4 linked regions of the Arabidopsis thaliana genome follow. The protein of the gene in region 1 interacts with the protein of each later gene in a biochemical or structural test. Each region holds a gene or a part of one and is shown on either strand. Other genes may lie near its edges. The genes, in order: CYCD4;1, CDKB2;1, CDKB1;1 and CDC2.

The links.
Region 2: the proteins of CYCD4;1 (region 1) and CDKB2;1 form a complex in vitro, tested with the Arabidopsis thaliana proteins (one study listed by BioGRID).
Region 3: the proteins of CYCD4;1 (region 1) and CDKB1;1 form a complex in vitro, tested with the Arabidopsis thaliana proteins (one study listed by BioGRID).
Region 4: the proteins of CYCD4;1 (region 1) and CDC2 form a complex in vitro, tested with the Arabidopsis thaliana proteins (2 studies listed by BioGRID).

The regions. Positions count from the first base shown.
Region 1 is NC_003076.8:26,140,917-26,145,795, reverse strand, and holds CYCD4;1 (CYCLIN D4;1), read left to right. Parts: upstream 1-1,802; 5' UTR 1,803-2,045; coding exon 2,046-2,306; intron 2,307-2,453; coding exon 2,454-2,483; intron 2,484-2,612; coding exon 2,613-2,699; intron 2,700-2,801; coding exon 2,802-2,900; intron 2,901-2,991; coding exon 2,992-3,196; coding exon of another isoform or gene 3,197-3,270; intron 3,271-3,332; coding exon 3,333-3,460; coding exon of another isoform or gene 3,461-3,496; exon of another isoform or gene 3,497-3,683; coding exon of another isoform or gene 3,684-3,686; exon of another isoform or gene 3,687-4,057; coding exon 4,058-4,204; 3' UTR 4,205-4,326; downstream 4,327-4,879. UniProt on the Arabidopsis thaliana protein: May activate cell cycle in the root apical meristem (RAM) and promote embryonic root (radicle) protrusion.
Region 2 is NC_003070.9:28,719,799-28,724,156, reverse strand, and holds CDKB2;1 (cyclin-dependent kinase B2;1), read left to right. Parts: upstream 1-1,606; 5' UTR 1,607-1,805; coding exon 1,806-2,032; intron 2,033-2,326; coding exon 2,327-2,468; intron 2,469-2,559; coding exon 2,560-2,621; intron 2,622-2,734; coding exon 2,735-2,846; intron 2,847-2,937; coding exon 2,938-3,031; intron 3,032-3,131; coding exon 3,132-3,201; intron 3,202-3,289; coding exon 3,290-3,428; intron 3,429-3,507; coding exon 3,508-3,603; 3' UTR 3,604-3,829; downstream 3,830-4,358. Other genes in the region: AT1G76550 (Phosphofructokinase family protein), read left to right, coding at 74-118, 196-252, 363-467, 548-664, 776-879, 963-1,257; AT1G76530 (Auxin efflux carrier family protein), read right to left, coding at 3,883-4,007, 4,089-4,342.
Region 3 is NC_003074.8:20,057,911-20,062,040, reverse strand, and holds CDKB1;1 (cyclin-dependent kinase B1;1), read right to left. Parts: upstream 2,371-4,130; 5' UTR 2,160-2,370; coding exon 1,532-2,159; intron 1,438-1,531; coding exon 1,368-1,437; intron 1,165-1,367; coding exon 1,026-1,164; intron 884-1,025; coding exon 791-883; 3' UTR 553-790; downstream 1-552. Other genes in the region: AT3G54190 (Transducin/WD40 repeat-like superfamily protein), read left to right, coding at 41-282; FIP37 (FKBP12 interacting protein 37), read right to left, coding at 2,645-2,800, 2,903-2,958, 3,042-3,111, 3,257-3,418, 3,693-3,746, 4,124-4,130. UniProt on the Arabidopsis thaliana protein: May control G2/M (mitosis) phase progression. Plays a role in regulating seedling growth in darkness via regulation of hypocotyl cell elongation and cotyledon cell development. Plays a role in stomatal development. Required to suppress endoreduplication.
Region 4 is NC_003074.8:18,069,515-18,075,195, forward strand, and holds CDC2 (cell division control 2), read left to right. Parts: upstream 1-1,939; 5' UTR 1,940-2,157; intron 2,158-2,672; 5' UTR 2,673-2,723; coding exon 2,724-2,732; intron 2,733-2,805; coding exon 2,806-2,990; intron 2,991-3,074; coding exon 3,075-3,195; intron 3,196-3,290; coding exon 3,291-3,464; intron 3,465-3,720; coding exon 3,721-3,884; intron 3,885-4,082; coding exon 4,083-4,170; intron 4,171-4,272; coding exon 4,273-4,326; intron 4,327-4,692; coding exon 4,693-4,782; 3' UTR 4,783-5,127; downstream 5,128-5,681. UniProt on the Arabidopsis thaliana protein: Involved in the control of the cell cycle. Essential for both G1/S and G2/M (mitosis) phase transitions. Functions in cell morphogenesis as well as cell proliferation.

The sequences.
Region 1 (4,879 bases):
TATTAGCTGACACGTGATTGTCACAATCACGTTATTACTATACTTACTACTACACTACCAACAAAATAAAAGAGCACCTTGGTAAAATGATATAATACATTTCTTTTATATCTTATAAAATTCTACAAACCGAAAGATCAAACATGCTCGCGGTCGTATAGTTTTTTTTTTTTTTAATTTATGTTAAAGGGTTTTTTGCGGTCGTATAGTTGTAGACTTGTTTCTACTTTACAATTTCAAAAAGCTGTGTGTTTTGGTGCGCATCGGTGATTTCTAAAACTTAGTTGGATAAGAATATATTGTATGAACAGGAGTTTATCTTTACAATTTTTTAAGACTCCGACTGATAATGAAGAAACGAGAAAATATGAAAATTGTAAGAATAACAGATATAATATAGAATGAAATTTGATTTTTGAAAGTAAGATAATCGTTTTCAAGGAAAAATTTTCTTTATTATTGCAATGAATTTTGTGTAATTCATTTGCTTCCTACAAAATACGACTTTGTTAACTAAAATGACAATGAGCTAATGTTTGATGTTTCATTCCATAACATGACTATATAGTAGTTGAAAGTTGAAACCAGTGGCTCGATGACTATTTGCCATGTAACCTCAAGCAAGAAATTCTCGTGTGGTGTTTTCAAGCAACTCGTCGCGTAGCTAGCTTTATTTTCATGTGGTAGAAAATTACTAATTACTATTTATAAATAAAAAATACTAATCTCCTTACAAATATACTAATGTAGAATCTTTGGAGGTGATAGAGCACTAGTTATTGACCTCAACTTGCAAGAGAACAAAAATAAATACTTTTATAAATATTAAAAACCTTATAGTTAAATCTTATAAGTTGGGTAAAACAGAAGACAGTATATTTGGGTAAACTAAAACCATATTAAAGAAAGACCATAATGTGTAAAAAACAAAGACCATATTGTGTAACAAACAGAGACCATATTTTGAACTTAAATGAGTATATGACGTAGTTCTTATACAAATATACAGTCTGCTTTTTCATTCAAAGGTATATGCAATGATGATAGATATTGAAATTATTGTGTCTAAAAGTGACCCTAGAATCAAAAAACAGTGGTCAAAGATCTACCAGAGCAAATGGTTCAAATATCATTATAGATGGATTTTGAGTCAAATTTTACATTCAAAACTTCTTTTTATTTGTGGCATGAATTTACATTAGTTTTTTTGGGGTCATTTTTATTTTGTTCAATGTCGGATATTGAAAATAAAATATCATGATTCAGCGTATATTTCGATCATAATATCAAATTGCATTATTTAGTCAAACAATTTTGTTAAAAAATATTTCCTAAGATTTATAGAATTCAATACTGTTTTAAACTATTAGTCAAACTATATATATTTTACTGTTATTAAAACAAGGAATAAAATTATGAAATATCAAAAAATATGTAAAGACATATACTATGATTAAATCTTTCAACATTCAATATTTTACCATTGAATATACAAAAATGTTAACTGTTAACTATGCATACAAGACCGAAATACAAATTCCAAAAAACTTATGGCGCAAATCTGATACCGAACTACCAACGATATTCACTCGATTCATCATCTAAAAACTAAAATACAACGAATAAAACCAACTAACTTTTCAATTCTCACCTCAATTTCCTACCACATTTTCATAATTTTCCAACTTCTCACATTTGTTACCATGATAGTCAATTCACTTTCTAAAATCTTCAAATTTTATCTTACATTTTTCATCTTCTTCACCATTATATATAGCCTCTCTCCTTCTCACACAATCTCCATCTTACCCTAAAAACCACATTTCTTAACTTCCTCAATAAAAAAAAGAAAAGCTTCACCCTTTAATTTTACCCTCAACCCCAAAACAAAAACCCCTTCCTCCACGAGGGCATACAGAAATATCAAAGACCCAATCTTTCTTTCACTTCCCCAATCTCTAGATGACAATCTAACGATACAGTTCCTTTTAGATCGATTACCAAATACAAAGGATCAATTTTTCTTACATGAACACTCTGTTGTAATGGCAGAGGAGAATCTAGAACTGAGTCTTTTATGTACAGAGAGCAACGTTGATGATGAGGGCATGATTGTTGACGAAACTCCGATTGAAATTTCGATTCCTCAGATGGGTTTTTCTCAATCGGAGAGTGAGGAGATTATCATGGAGATGGTGGAGAAGGAGAAGCAGCATTTGCCAAGTGATGATTACATCAAGAGACTTAGAAGTGGAGATTTGGATTTGAATGTTGGAAGAAGAGATGCCCTCAATTGGATTTGGAAGGTCTGATTCTCTATTTGATTTTGATTTCTGGTTTTGAAATTTGGATGTTGATTGGTTTTGAATGATCTGTATAAGCTCAAATTGTGAAAAGCACAATCCTTTTGATGAATGATCTGAACATAAAGAGTGTGTTGCTATGTCTATTAGATCAGAGGCTTATGCAGAACAGATAGAGAGGTTTTGTCTTAAATCTGTAAATCTGATGCTCAATTTCCGATCTTTCACACTTCAATTGACAATAGATTCACTTCAGTCTCAGAGTTTTAGATCTCTAATTGATCTTTTCTTCTGTTCTGATTACAACAGGCTTGTGAAGTACACCAGTTTGGACCATTGTGTTTTTGCTTAGCAATGAACTACTTGGATCGATTCTTATCGGTTCATGATTTGCCTGTAAGTTCACATTGGTTAAACTAAAAGATTGATAATGTTTTTAGCCATTCATCATCAAAAAGTCTCATTTTTTCGCTTCTTGATTTGTGATTCTTCTTGTAGAGTGGCAAAGGTTGGATATTGCAGTTGTTGGCTGTGGCTTGTTTATCATTGGCAGCCAAAATTGAAGAAACTGAAGTTCCAATGTTGATAGATCTTCAGGTTCTCCTCTAAACTCGTTAAATTGTCGAGATGTTCTATTCGACCCGACAATGTCTTGAATCGATTGCGGTTTGATCACATTTCGGAACAGGTTGGAGATCCTCAGTTTGTGTTTGAGGCTAAATCAGTCCAAAGAATGGAGCTTTTGGTGTTGAACAAATTGAAATGGAGATTGAGAGCAATAACTCCATGCTCATACATAAGATATTTCCTGAGAAAGATGAGTAAATGTGATCAAGAACCATCCAACACATTGATATCTAGATCATTACAAGTGATAGCCAGCACAACCAAAGGTGAAAAAAAAAGTCTTTCCTTTATGTTTTATTTTCTTGACCACTTTTGTTTTTGTGCTTTTTTGGGTTTTGTTGTTTTTTTCACTTTTGCTTTTTATGATTTTGGATTAAAATGGTGGTTGTGTCGAGTGAGCAGGTATTGACTTTTTGGAGTTTAGACCTTCTGAAGTTGCTGCTGCTGTGGCACTTTCTGTTTCTGGAGAATTGCAGAGAGTACACTTTGACAACTCTTCCTTCTCTCCTCTTTTCTCACTACTTCAAAAGGTAAAAAACAATCCACCAAACATCTCAAACTCATAAATCTATTGTTTTTTAATACCAAACACACACACACATATAAAGCAGCCTTTGGTGGTTCAATTTCAAGGAAATGCCAGTTGTGGAGAAGTTTGAACTCATTAAAGATGACACATTTATGTGTATATATGTGTGTGCACTAACTTATTCATTGCATACACATAATATGTGTAATTATAAATCCAAAAAGTAAAAAAAAAAAAAAAAAAAAAAAGAGAAACCGGTTAATGGGTCTGAATCCTTTGACTTCCAAAACTAGTGGAGAGTAGACCAAAGACCACTTTAAATTATATTATTCTCTAGCTATGTGTCTTGTGACTCTCTCTGTCACACACACACATTCACTGCACAGCCTCTAGTCACATCTAAAACCAATCTGCCCCCACAAAAACATGTTTGATTCTGATTTGATCTTGCAATCCAAAACATCAGCCTGGTTTCCATTAGTTGTTTTTCTACACCAGAAAAAGCTGAAGAGATCTTTGTGTGTTGTGTTTGTGTTTGTGTTCAAGAGACAAAAACAAAAGTGTCAAGCTTTAAACTTTGTGGTTCCTTTTATTGCAGGAGAGAGTGAAGAAGATAGGGGAAATGATAGAGAGTGATGGCTCAGACTTATGTTCACAAACACCCAATGGGGTTTTAGAAGTATCGGCTTGTTGTTTCAGCTTTAAGACCCATGATTCTTCTTCTTCTTATACACATCTTTCTTAAAAAAAAAACTGTTTTTTTCTTACATTATTATAATCAGTATGATGTCTGATGAGAGGTTGAAAAAAGAGGACAATAAATCAAAGCAAAAATTTTTAAATAAATAAAAGTGTATTAATTTCAATATTTGATTTGTTTATAGCTTTGGTAATACTGAACAAATAAAATTATAAGAATTTTTTGTTGGCAGGAAATAGCAAAAAAGAGAAAGAAAATAAAACAAAGGAAAAACAGAGCTTTTTTTAATTGGTTCCCGCCAAATAAATATAGCGGGAAAAAACCGTATCGGTTCTGTTGAGCGTTAGAGTTGACCTTTTTTAATTCAAACGGTGCCGTTGTGAGATAAAGCGCGCATCGCACTAATGGGCTTAGAATTGGGCCCACGAACAGAAGTCTTTGACTTAAAGTTGACGTAAAGAGACCAAAGCTAGGTTGTGCTTTATGGAGCTTTTGCGTTTTATACCTTTTATCAACAAAACTCCAAAATCCCAATATTTTATTGAAAACTTTTTAACAAAAAATAAATAAAATGATTGGACTCCAGGTCCACTAAACCTCTAGGATCTGTAACTATGAAGAAAATGGGCCAATGCTATATTCATTAAATTTAATCATTTGGGTCTACCATTGTCGCATGGCATACTAGCAATTTGATGATCCTGAAATAAAATAATTGTG
Region 2 (4,358 bases), on another chromosome or scaffold:
ACTTTTCTTTGTTTTTTCTCACATGTAAACGAGTATGTGTTCTTATGATAAATTGTCTTCTTTGTTTCTGCAGCTACTTCTCCATCCCGAGTCTGATGATTCTGCTCAGCTATCCCAGGTAAGAAGAAAGAAAATGATGGAGTTACTGTGCTATAAAAAGTTGGAATTCTAATTGCTCATTTACTTTCTTCTTAGATTGAGACGGAGAAACTTCTGGCTTATCTTGTGGAGACTGAAATGAACAAGCGCTTGGTATGTTGCACATCTTTTTCACTTGTCACAATCCATTTTTTTCAAATTTTTTTGAATAACCTTGCCTGAATATTCAAGTTGTCCCTAAAACTAAGTTTTGAAAATGACAGAAAGAAGGAACCTACAAAGGGAAGAAATTCAACGCTATCTGTCACTTTTTTGGTTACCAAGCTCGTGGATCTCTTCCATCAAAATTCGATTGTGACTACGCCTATGTATGTGATCGCCAAACTAAAATGCTATTGCAACTTCAATATTATGGACATTCACACCATTGATTATAACTTTGATGCAGGTTCTTGGACATGTATGTTACCACATCCTCGCAGCTGGTTTGAATGGTTACATGGCGACAGTGACTAACCTGAAGAGTCCTGTAAACAAATGGAAATGCGGGGCTGCGCCTATCTCAGTTGAGTTTTGTCTCTTATTTATAAGGCTAAAGTTGTTTAGTATATGTGTTGATTTCTGACTTCAAGTTTCAGTTTTACTGACCCCAATCTCTTTCTCTGTTTAACCTTAGGCAATGATGACGGTTAAGCGTTGGTCCCAAAATTCTGGTTCTACTACGATTGGTAGACCTGTAATTCATCCAGCTTCAGTTGACTTGAAAGGAAAAGCATACGAGTAAGCTTTTGTTCCTCACTCATTAGACAAAGATTAGAATGAACATGAAATCAAGTGATATAATTTGTCAAATGATTTTGCAGTCTATTGAGACAAAACGCGCAGAAATTCTTGATGGAAGATATGTACCGAAACCCAGGACCAGTCCAGTATGATGGTCCAGGTGCAGATGCAAAGGCGGTAAGTCTGTGTGTAGAAGACCAGGATTACATGGGGAAAATCAAGAAGCTGCAGGAGTATCTTGATCAGGTGAGGACGATTGTGAAACCGGGTTGCTCTCAAGATGTTTTGAAAGCGGCATTGAGTGTTATGGCCTCGGTGACTGATGTTCTCACTACGATCTCATCTTCTTCCACCAGCGGTCAGCAATTTGCTTAAAGATTTTTTTATTGTTTTGGTTTTCCCTTTAACCATAAACTTCATTAGCTCTCTCTCTCTCTCTCTCTTTCCATTTTGAAGTCGTCTTCTGATTTACGCAAACTTTATTGTTCAAAGTTGAGTTTAGGAAAAGGATATTCAAAGTTAAAGGATTTGAGTAATGCTTTTTTAATGAAGAAGTCTGTGTTTGGGTTCACTAATCTTCTTGTTGCCTTCTCGATCATAATTTGTATATGGTGCGACCAAATCAAAGTACCTACGGATATATATGACAAGTGGACACAAATGAATAAATGTAAAAATTAAAATTAAATACTATAGTACGTGGCAAATTAAAAAAAGGCGTTTATGAAAAGACCGCTCCTCCACGCTCCAGTTTGAATTTCGAAAAATCAGTCCGTTGTGAAAGCCCAAGAATAAGGATTCTATAATTTCAGGTCTCATTTAATTATATAACCTATCTACACTTTGATCTCCGACAATTCACTTTCCCAATAAGAACCAACTGAGAGAGAGAGAGCGCCGGAGAAGAAGAATTTTAGAGAGCGATGGACGAGGGAGTTATAGCAGTTTCCGCCATGGATGCTTTCGAGAAGCTTGAGAAAGTTGGTGAAGGGACATACGGGAAAGTTTACAGAGCCAGAGAGAAAGCTACCGGGAAAATCGTCGCTCTAAAGAAGACGCGTCTCCATGAGGACGAAGAAGGCGTTCCTTCCACCACTCTCCGCGAGATCTCCATTTTGCGAATGCTCGCTCGTGATCCTCACGTCGTCAGGTTAGGGTTTTACCTCTGATTCGATAAAATTGCCCCCATATTCTCGATCTTGTAGTCGCGTTAGGGTTTATATAGTCGATTTCTCACTATCTCGCTTGTTTTCCAGATTAGATAGATCTCAATTTCAAATCGTAGTAATCAGTTCGAAGAGTCTACTAATTGTTAGATGATTTGGCTCTGAGAAACTGTTGATAGATGTTTCCCTAGAGTTTGATCTGGATCGCTGTATCAGTTAGTTTTCCAGTGATTGCAAAATCAATTATATACGGAAACTTTATTTGTCATCTTTTTCAGGTTAATGGATGTTAAGCAAGGACTAAGCAAAGAAGGCAAAACTGTACTGTACCTGGTTTTTGAATACATGGACACTGATGTCAAGAAATTCATCAGAAGTTTCCGTAGCACTGGCAAGAACATTCCAACCCAAACTATCAAGGTTTTTAACCACCTTATTACTGTCATCTCTCTTTCTCGCTTCATTTGTGCTCACTTGAACCAAACATAACATTCTGAAAAGTTATTTGCAGAGCTTGATGTATCAACTATGCAAAGGTATGGCATTCTGCCATGGTCACGGGATATTGCACAGGTGAATTGTTCTCTGGCTTTCCCTTGTTTTCAACTTCTAAGTGAGAATGATTTTAGATAATAACTTGGAAGAGAGATTTCTTCTTCTTACTATTTCTCCTTGTTTCAAAACAGAGATCTCAAGCCTCACAATCTCTTGATGGATCCCAAGACAATGAGGCTCAAAATAGCAGATCTTGGTTTAGCCAGAGCCTTCACTCTGCCAATGAAGAAGTATACCCATGAGGTAATCAATGTTTGACACTGCTTCTTGCACTTATCCCACTTTGTATGTATTGTAGAACTTATGGTTTTGAATCGGTTGTTCATTGCAACAGATATTAACTCTTTGGTATAGAGCTCCAGAGGTTCTTCTTGGTGCCACCCATTACTCTACAGCTGTGGATATGTGGTCTGTTGGCTGCATATTTGGTATGTGTTCTTTTCAGACTCGTTGATTTCACTAGTCACTGCGATATCATCTTAAGTTACTAAACAACAACAATTAACATTGTTCCTTCACCATTTACAGCTGAACTTGTGACCAACCAAGCAATCTTTCAGGGAGACTCTGAGCTCCAACAGCTCCTCCATATTTTCAAGTAAGTCTTTGTTGATTCTTCACCTTTTACATGACAAACATAAGAAAACCTTTTTTCATTTTGCCGCTCTTTCCGGTGTACAACTCAGGTTGTTTGGGACACCCAATGAAGAAATGTGGCCAGGAGTGAGCACACTCAAGAACTGGCATGAATACCCACAGTGGAAACCATCGACTCTATCCTCTGCTGTTCCAAACCTCGACGAGGCTGGAGTTGATCTTCTATCTGTAAGTCTAAAGTTTATTAACTAGCTACCAAAACAAACTCAACAGACGAACTAATTGCGTTTTTATCTTCCTGGAACAGAAAATGCTGCAGTACGAGCCAGCGAAACGAATCTCAGCAAAGATGGCTATGGAGCATCCTTACTTTGATGATCTGCCAGAAAAGTCCTCTCTCTAAGGATTTAAAATCTTCAGTTAGTATCTTTCCAAGTTTTATGGTTTTTCTAGTTTTGCTTCTTTCAAGCATATCTCTAGTGTGCTGCTTCCCCCTCTATGAATCATCCTTTCTTTAGCATAATATATCACTTCTGATTGTTGTTTCTTTCTATTCGAATATTTGGATTAACGGCTTTAATGTTCTTAAGACTATTCGCAATTATAATGATCCAGTCATCTGGAAGTCTAAGAATAAGTTCTTGAATAAATGGATACATATAACAAGATCGAGTGTGGGGATTTATGTCACAAGCCACATGAAGAATGTTGGCCAAACAGTGAGTGAAACTGCAGCCAAAGAGTAAGTCCAAAGCATAATCACAGAGCATTCACTCTCCCCAGCGCCGAATAATTGGGTCTTTGTACCTGAAAAGTAAGGGAAACTAGTGATGTATCTTATCTGAAAGAAGTAACTGTATTTTAAGGAGTTGGTTTCAAGCCATGCACCTAGATTCATGGCTGGTGGGACAGCATACTGAAGAAGAAGAACGAATTGGTACAAGGGTTCTGAGGTTACTAAATCCAACTTGTATGCTCCTCTCACGAGTAAAACACCGCTTACAGGTAGCAAAATGTAACGAGCTACCAAGACGCCGATAATGCAGGAGTTTTTCATTTCTGAACTCCTCACTTCCGACCTCCTCATTCCTTTAAGTAAGTTTCCTCCAAGAATCAGGGTCATAGCAGGAATGGCCCCATCTCTTTAGCCAAAAGAAA
Region 3 (4,130 bases), on another chromosome or scaffold:
TGATGGATATTGATTATTGGTGTTTTGTGGGATGATCCAGCGGGATCAATCAATATCAGCAATATATTGACTGGGAAATGCTTAGCTAAAATAACACCAAGCAGTGGGCCTCCAAAAGATGATGAGAGCAGCAGCAGTAATTGTATGGGAAAGAACTCAAAGCAAAGAAGAAACGCTGTAGCTGAAGCTTTGGAAGACATAACCGCTCTTTTCTACGACGAAGAACGCAATGAGATATACACAGGAAACAGACACGGCCTTGTTCATGTGTGGTCCAATTGATTTCACATACATCGTCATCGTTAGCTGCTACTACTACTACTACGAATGTATCATTTGGTTTCCTTCAATTGTGTGTAGCGATAAATCTTTTTAACTTAGTGTCTTTGAGCAGCCATCTGTGTTGTAAACCATTTGTGGGCAAGTGTGCGCGTCAGAATGCCAGTTGTGTACACTAATACCATTGTACGTAACATTTGGGTTTTGACAATTCTATGAAAGACCCTTTATTCCACCTGTAAGGTCTCACTTTAATTTTCAAAATTGACTTGATTCAGATAGTTGAGCATCAACTTTGTATGATTACACAAAAACAAGCGATTGATAGAAAATCATCTCATTGCTACCACACCATTGTGTTTTACATTCACTTGAGAATACAAGCTTTACCAGTTTCTTCTGAAAGACTACAAATCTCTAAACCAAACATAAGACACTAATGTGTCGGAAACAAAGATAGATCAAATGTTTAAATTCACCAAGACGATGACAACAGATACAGCAATGAACTTCAGAACTGAGACTTGTCAAGGCTGTCAAAATATGGGTGATCAAGTGCTGTTTTTGCTGAAATTCTTTCGGCTGGATTGTACTTGAGCATTTTCTGCAATTGTACAAACATAAGCTCAATCAGAAAGATTTAACCAAGCAATTCAGCTTAGGAAAAAAAGAGGGAAGCAGAAGCAAGAGGTAACAATATTAGAGCAACTTTGCAACAAAGCTATGGTCATCAGGGAGTTATTTACCGTGAGAAGATCAACTCCTTGAGGTGAAAGAGAAGGAACAGCAAGAGTTAAGTCTTGCGGCTCCCACTTAGGGTAAACATGCCAGTCACGCAGTGTGGAAACACCCGGCCATTGCTGCTCAGTTGGTGTTCCTAGCAACCTCCATGAACCAAATAGGAACCATTAGTAAAGATCATAGTCTCTATTCAAGAATGCTAAATCCATTGAATAATTGGTCAAAGAAACCTGGACTATATAGAATCAGTTGTTCTCAATTGGTAAGCTAGCATATCATTCAGTGATGCAATTCACACTGAAACAGGACAAAACCAGAAGAAGTAATGGAAGGTAAATTCAAAATACCTGAAGATATGAAGCAATTGCTGAAACTCAGAATCACCAGGGAAAAGAGCTTGCCTCCGAACCATCTCAGCTATACAAATTCAAAGATTGAAACAGCATAAATACAAAATCACATCGCAGAGAGACGAATTCAAAAACATAAAAGCATAATTGAGACTACTAACCAAAGATACAACCAACAGACCACATGTCAACACCAGTTGAATAATGAGTAGATCCAAGAAGAACTTCAGGAGCTCTATACCAAAGAGTAACAATCTCATGCGTATAAGACTTAAGAGGAACAGTAAAAGCACGACCAAGACCCAAATCAGCAATCTTAAGAAGCTCTTTATCTTTCACCAGAAGAAGATTCTGCGGTTTAAGATCACGGTGAAGCACACCATGACTATGACAATGCGCAACACCTTTACAAAGCTGAAACATCAACTTCTGAATCAAAAAAGGCTCAAGAGGCTTAGGATTAGGTCCTTTCCTATACGAATCGATGAATTTCTTAAGATCAGTATCGAGATACTCGAAAACGAGATAGAGATTGGATTTGGTAGATTGAGATTTGGTTGATGGTTGATGAACATGTTCGACGCAGAGTAATCGAACAACATAGATCGATGTTGATAACATCTGGAGAAGCGAGATCTCACGAAGAGCAGTTGGTGGAATACCTTCTTCGTCCATCTCGAGACGAGTTTTCTTCAGAGCAACAAGCTTACCAGTTCCTTTCTCCATCGCTTTGTAGACTTTCCCGTATGTTCCTTCTCCGACCTTCTCTAGCTTCTCGTACTTCTCCATTTCTGAGAGGTTTCGTAAAATTGAACTGTGTTGGTTTCTGGACTTTTGATTAACCCTATTATTTGATCAGATTAATGAAGATGATGGATTGTGAGAGAGAGAGAGAGAGATGCTTTCGCTAAGATACTTCCACGTCACTTCGTTTTTCCCGCTCCTTTGGATTTTGAATTCGTTCGTGACAACTGCAACAGATTAACCTAAAGTCGTGACCTCTGTGAATGTTTTTGGGGAAAACTAATTGGACTCACTTATTTTGGTCTAATCTGATATCTACTCAGATGATTTGCGTGAGTTGACGAGTTCAAATTCTTCACGAGTTATATCGGGAAGCCACATATCGATATCGAAACACCAATGGTGCGAATTAAAACATATTAATAGAAGATGAAGATTAGAACTTTCTGTTTCATGAAACAGATAACGAATGAAGAAATGTGATTTTGAACTTCAAAATGTACAAAACATTTTTTGAAAGCTACAAATTCCTATTCTCCACCAGCAATTTCTTCTTTTGCATCTTCATCAATTTCATCAACTTCATCTTTCTTGTCACCTACTAGCTCAGACACAATTTCCAGTCCTTTCTTTACTCTCTCTATCTCCTTCTCTTTCTCTTCCAGTTTCTCTTGCAATATTATCACCTGAGATTTATCAAAGTCACATATTTCCAACAAAACCATAATCATTCTTCCGTTTTAAGAAAAATCTTGAGGAATTAAGAGATAAGAGAAAAGGATCAACACCGTTTCATTTGATCTCTCAACATCATTAGTTAATTCCTCCATGTGTTTGTACAGTCCTGCATTCCACAAAAATCCTCAAATCCAAATTGCAAACTCTACAAAAATCTTTGCTATAACTTAATATCAACATATGACTTACCTTCAAATTGACTTCTAAGTTCCGCGTTTTGAGACTTCTGCATTGCAAGCTTTATTGCTAGTTCATGAATCTGCCATTCCACATGAACATAGGCAAGCATCAATTTCTTTACCCTTTTCAGGGAATCATGTTTTACAAAGGTTGAAGAAGACTACTGCTTTACTATATAATTCATATAATTCCAGATTGAAGACTGAGAGTAGAACAAACTATACCTTTCCTTCGGCAGCTTGGTGCCCAATCTCCTCATTTTCCTCTTGCAGGGTTCTGCACTTTGCCATAAGCATCTTTCCATTCTTGCTTTGAGGAGTAAAAGTAACTGCTGCAATGTTGTCCTGGAGTTCCTTGATCTTCTTGTCTTTTTCCTCTACTAGATTCTGCATAATAGAAACATGGAATCAAACTTCATCTACTCTTTACTTAACTGCAACAAATGTACATTAACAAAAAGTTGGGAATGTTCGTCCTCAACTGTATCTACTACGACAGTGTCAGCTATCAGTTATTAAGGAATTATTCTTTCAGGCCATTCATAACGAAAGCGGAATTTTGTTCCGTAGATACAGTTTGGATTATCTAAGGATATATTACGACAAATACATCCTTATGAAAAAGTAGTCTAAGGGTAAATAGAAACGAGTAGGTGCAGACCTTCAGACGTGAAAATTCTTCATGAATTGCTGGATCCAGTAACAACCTCCTCGCCTACAAAGGTAAACAAAGAATAAATAATCTACACTGCTATCTGATCATGACAAGCTGCTAAATGACCATTGCAATTCAAAATTTATAGCCATTTCTTCTATTCAGACTTGTTAATAATTCAGATGCCAGGTAAAGGTTTACAAGAAACATGCGCTTATCATCGTATTCAGACTGAAATCTAAAAGGCAAGGAAAAGGTTTCCCTCTACATGCATCAAGGTCGAGGATGACCGTCATAAAAGGTACACTACGGCATAAAAAGCGGACTATGCCTAGAAAAGTCCAAGTTACTTCAACAGCTAACTTTTTTCACGATTTGTATTGTTGGCACAATTGTATAAATTATTCCAGAATCAAAACATTGGGAGAACTATATACCTGCATT
Region 4 (5,681 bases), on another chromosome or scaffold:
TCTCTTACTTTTTTCTTTACCCCTTCCCAATTGTAATTCATATTATCTGATCTTAAAAAATTTAATTCAAGTTCATGATATATCAATTAAAAAGTTGTATAGTTTTCTACATATATCATGACTTAAATTTTTGAAAACAAACATAAAATAATTTAGATGTGAATAGTGTTGTCAATGAATAACATAAAGTTCTATATAGATAAACAATATTTTTTTATAGAAAGATATTAAACCCTAAAGGATAATATATAGAGAACCCAAGAGTTTAAATCTAAACCAATAATTAAATCACTTAACATCCTTAATCAAAACAAATAATTCATTTTAAAACGTATATAAAACAAAGTATACGTAAATAGTATATTTACAAATAGAATAGTATCTCTCAAATTGCAACAACGAAACTCAATTTCATCACCAAGACACCAAGCGCAACAACGAAAGTCGATTCCCTGAATCCAAATTGTGTTCCTCCCTCTGTAATTCGAAACCCCCAAATCAAATCTCACCCAAAAGTAATTAAGAGACTCTGATTTGAAAACAAAAACAAGTAACGAGGTAGGTGTAAAGACTTTACTGGGAGAAAGAGAGAGGGAGAGGGAAAAAGAAAGAGAGAGAAAGAGAGAGGGGGAGAGAGAGAAAGAGGGAGGGAAGATAGAAGGGAAGAGAGAGGTAGACGGAAAGAGAAATGGAGAAAAATAGATAAAGGGGTAAACTTGGAATTAATATACAAAATATAGAGGATATCAGTTCTTTTTCCTTTTGATGTTAGTTTCTTAATTATAAACTTTTTGTTGGTTAGTTTTGCCAATTCCCTTACTTACAACTGATAACCGTATAGCTCTTTTATCAGAAAAAACTTTATATATCTAATCTCCCAAAATATACAAATGTGAGAAATATCTGAAAATAAATCAATTCTCACCAATTATATATATTTGATTACTTAAAAATGTTAATATATGGCAGTTGCTTGTTCAGAGAATAACTTAAAAAATTGATCACGAGATCGGCTTATGTTTAATATTTTTGAACTCTTGGGATAAAAGTTTTGAAGATATATATATCGTAGAAAAGTTTTGTGTTCTTTAATTAGTTACAAAATTTTGAGTTTTTTTTTTTTCTTTCATAAAGTATCAGAATATCAGGGTGATTTATTGAATAGTTTATTTTTTCTCGTTCTACTCACGTTATTCTTGCAAGTATTAATTTTGGTTTGTTTATAAAAAAAGTATTTGGAAATTTTATGTGAGCAAGTGCGAAATAAACGAGGATTTTGGGAAGTATTTTTTTTTTTGTAAAATCGGTTATATTGAACGTTATACTATATATATTATTATATAAATATAACTGCTAAAGACTAAATTTAGATACTAAAATCAGCATTGATGAAGATCCACATGAATAAGACTCGTCTCTTAACTCAACATTTAACATATGATTTTCATATTATTGATCATTTATCTTTGTGTTGGTCCAAGGTGCCAGACTTTATTATTTACATTAAATGTTGAGTTGTTTACTGACATATTTTTTAATTAAAACAACTTTCATATTATTGCCCATTTATATTTTGGTTGGTCCTCCAAAGACTTACAGGATACATATGTTTCTCCATTTTCATTTTTATGATCTAAAACGTCTTTTTCTAACTTAGATTCTAAATGGTTACAGCAAACCGGACATACAATTTTGCTTGTCAAATGGATCGTTGAGATAGACAACAATCCAATGTAAAACCAAAACTCTTGATTTATAATTGGTCTGCAATGATTTTTTTTTGGTTCATATACCATTTTATAAGATAGCAAACCATTTTCATCATAAAAGATATATTTTTTTATCATTGAATACCAATCAAACCCGGTATAATAAATAAAATTGTACCAAATTAATGCGGTTAGGTAAATTCAATTTATTGGAAATTAAAGAAGAGAAAAAAAAAATAACGAACAAAATTTCCTTGACACAAAAAAAAAAAAAGAAGAAAGAAAAAACCCTTACTCTCAATTAGTCAATCCCCTTCCCTAGTCCTCCTCTCTTCAAGCTTTTCACAGAAAACCACCACCCTTCTCTCTCTACTGCCTTTTTACCACAGAGAAGAGAGAGGATCCGTCGGTGTGCTAGTCTCACTGACACTACATCCGATCGTCGCCGGTAAGTTGATTTCGTTACTCTCCGATCAATTTCTTTTCCGGAGGAGGAACTTGTTTTCCGTGCGAAATTCTGACTTGAACTTTGTTGTCAATTCATCAAACGCTTTATCTTTTCTCCATCTTCAATTATCTTACTGCTTCGTCGCTGATCTCTACTTGTTTTCCTCCGTTTTGCATTTTCAGTGGCGTTTCTTAGTGTTTCACTAGATTTAGACTGGTTTTGCTTGTGTGCATTTTGTCATCAGTGTTTATGATTGTTCGCTTTAGCTCTATGTTTCTATGGATTTGATAATATATGAGTTCGCTGCTCTGGATTCAGCTGGCTTGTTTGATTGTTCATTTTCATAATTCTGTCCAAAGAATCAAATCCACAGTAGCTCGGATCTGAGATTGATTTGTTTCTTTGCGTCTTTGTGTAGATTTGACTTTAATTTTGAGATTGTTGTGTGCTGATATACAGCTTAATTAATATAGCCTCTGATGTGTTATTATCGATGTGTCATTATCAATCTACAGGTGACATTTTATAAGTGTGGAGTTTACTTCAGCTTTATTATTCAGGAATTGATGGATCAGGTTGGTGTAAATAGTTGTTTCAGTTCTTACTCTTTTGACGAGAGTCTCTGTTAATGTGCTCTTATTAATGCAGTACGAGAAAGTTGAGAAGATTGGTGAAGGAACTTACGGTGTGGTTTATAAGGCACGTGACAAAGTGACTAATGAGACAATTGCTTTGAAGAAGATCAGGCTAGAGCAGGAGGATGAAGGTGTTCCTAGCACAGCAATCAGAGAAATCTCCCTCTTGAAAGAAATGCAGCACAGCAACATTGTCAAGTATGATGTTAATACCATTGTTGAAAACTGATTCAGCATGATGACTCTGGTAAACAATTTTGATTGATGTTTTTTGCTACACAGATTGCAGGATGTGGTGCACAGCGAGAAACGTTTGTATCTGGTTTTTGAGTATCTTGACTTGGATCTCAAAAAGCACATGGATTCTACTCCTGATTTCTCCAAGGATCTACATATGATCAAAGTGAGTGCTAAGAAACTTTAGGCATTGTTTTATATATGTGCTTAAACTCAATACTCAATATAAGCTGATCAGAGCTGTTCATCCACTATTTTCAGACATATCTTTACCAGATTCTCCGTGGAATTGCGTATTGCCACTCTCATAGGGTTCTCCATCGTGATCTGAAGCCACAGAATTTGTTGATTGATCGCCGCACAAACTCACTGAAGCTTGCTGATTTTGGACTGGCCAGAGCATTCGGTATCCCTGTCAGGACATTTACTCATGAGGTACCAAAGAGCTTTATTCCTTGTTCATATGTTCCCGTTATGAAATCTTTTGGCTGGCTGCATTCCTTATGAGTGTAATGTAAATTAAGTATTATACCACTTATGTGTCTGATAAATGTGATGAAAAGGACTAAGCCATTTCACATAGACGGTTGAAGTAAGCTAGTTCAAGATACTGTAAAATATTTCAATGCTACATCCAGATTTCAGATCTCTTCCTGGTTATTCACACAATTTTTGCATATTGTTCCTTTAGGTTGTTACTCTCTGGTACCGAGCACCAGAGATACTCCTAGGATCTCATCATTACTCTACACCTGTTGATATTTGGTCTGTGGGGTGCATATTTGCTGAGATGATCAGCCAAAAGCCCTTATTTCCTGGAGACTCCGAGATTGATCAACTCTTCAAGATTTTCAGGTTTAATTGCTAACTTCCCCAGTCCAATATTCCTCTATATATTACAAGTGCAAAGACTTGTCTGCAATGATATCACAAGGGATTGTGGAAACATTTTCAACTTGATATCACATTTTGGAGAAGTAGTAAAGGACACAGAAATTGAATTGTTAACTGATTATAAATCTGTTACTGCCTTGTTTTGTTGTCTTCTTCTAGAATCATGGGAACTCCGTACGAGGATACATGGCGTGGGGTAACTTCTCTACCGGATTATAAATCTGCTTTCCCTAAATGGAAACCAACGGTACTTCAAATGTCTTTATTCGCTTGTACATCTTGTCTTCAGTAGTCAAGAGTTCACAACATATATTAATTCTTGCCCTTGTTTTTTTTTCTTATACCACAGGACCTAGAAACTTTTGTCCCCAATCTAGATCCCGATGGAGTCGATCTCCTTTCTGTAAGTTCACTGAGCTAGATATATACACACACATATATAGACACACTACTTCTGCTATTAGAGACCTGTATGCTTGATTGTGATGGATCTGGTCTCATGTTTCTTACTAAAAACCTTTTAACCATTTGAGGTTTTAGATGTCTTATAAAGTCATCAAGAGCCGGCGTACTAAAACCAATTCGATTAGGCTTCATAGTTTCAAAACCACATGAAGCCAAAACCAAACTTGTTTGAAATATGAACAATCTTCAAAAACCAGGATTCTTGAAATTCCTAACCAAACCAGACATCTGGATAGAAATCTAAGATTTTGAGCTCCTGTGAAAGCAAAGATGATAATATATCTCTCTGCTTGATTTGTTTCAGAAAATGCTGTTAATGGATCCGACCAAAAGAATCAACGCAAGAGCCGCCCTGGAGCATGAATACTTCAAGGATCTTGGAGGCATGCCTTAGAAAGGCATAAAACCAGTAATCTCCTTCATTCTATATATAATTATCAATCCTAAGAAAATGAAGAACAATATTAATGGGTTTTGTTTATTCTTTTTCTGAGTTCGTTTCCTACTTATATTCTATTACGAAAAAAAAGAAAGAAGAAGATTTCGAGTGTGTTTTTTTTTACTTCTAAGCTTTTGAGATCAGTTTCTTGTATCTTATTTTACCCAGAATATAGTATTTCCCTATATGAAATATGGTTTTTGTTTTGCAAAATGACCATATTATGCAACTTCTCAGCTTCTTGATTGTGCCTTGATAGTGATCTTTTGAAATATATCCCAAAAAACATCACTTTTTTCGATTTCATTAGTACTTATTTACGAGTTACGACGTCATTTGATAACTAGTATATATGGTCCGTCGATCTTAATTTCCTATTTATAAAGGGTGCACCGTTTTTAATGAGACAAGAGGGTCCAAGTAGCCAATCATTAATGAGACCAAAGTTGACCAGAAAAAGCTGACAAATAAATTGACGAGAAGAACAATTCAACACGTATTCGATAGTTTGGATTACATTTTACAGTTGGTCGAAATTCGAAGTAGATCAAATGTCAATAATCTAATTCGAAACTAAATGAAGGTACCTGATAACCATTTCAGTGTTAGTTAGCAGTGGTTTCAATCTATTCACTAAGCAAAGACGCTTCCATTCTGAAAATCAAGTCCAATGGGAGGCATAAACTTAAGTGTCTGAAAAACTCAAAAAAGCATAGCCTCGTGTAAAATAGACCGATCTATTTATTCATGAATATATGTATGATTATCAAAGTGCATTTATACTTTTTACGTTTTAAAATTTCGTATATAAACTTTCCTTAGTGAATATTATAACATAATTTCTAATGAAAACT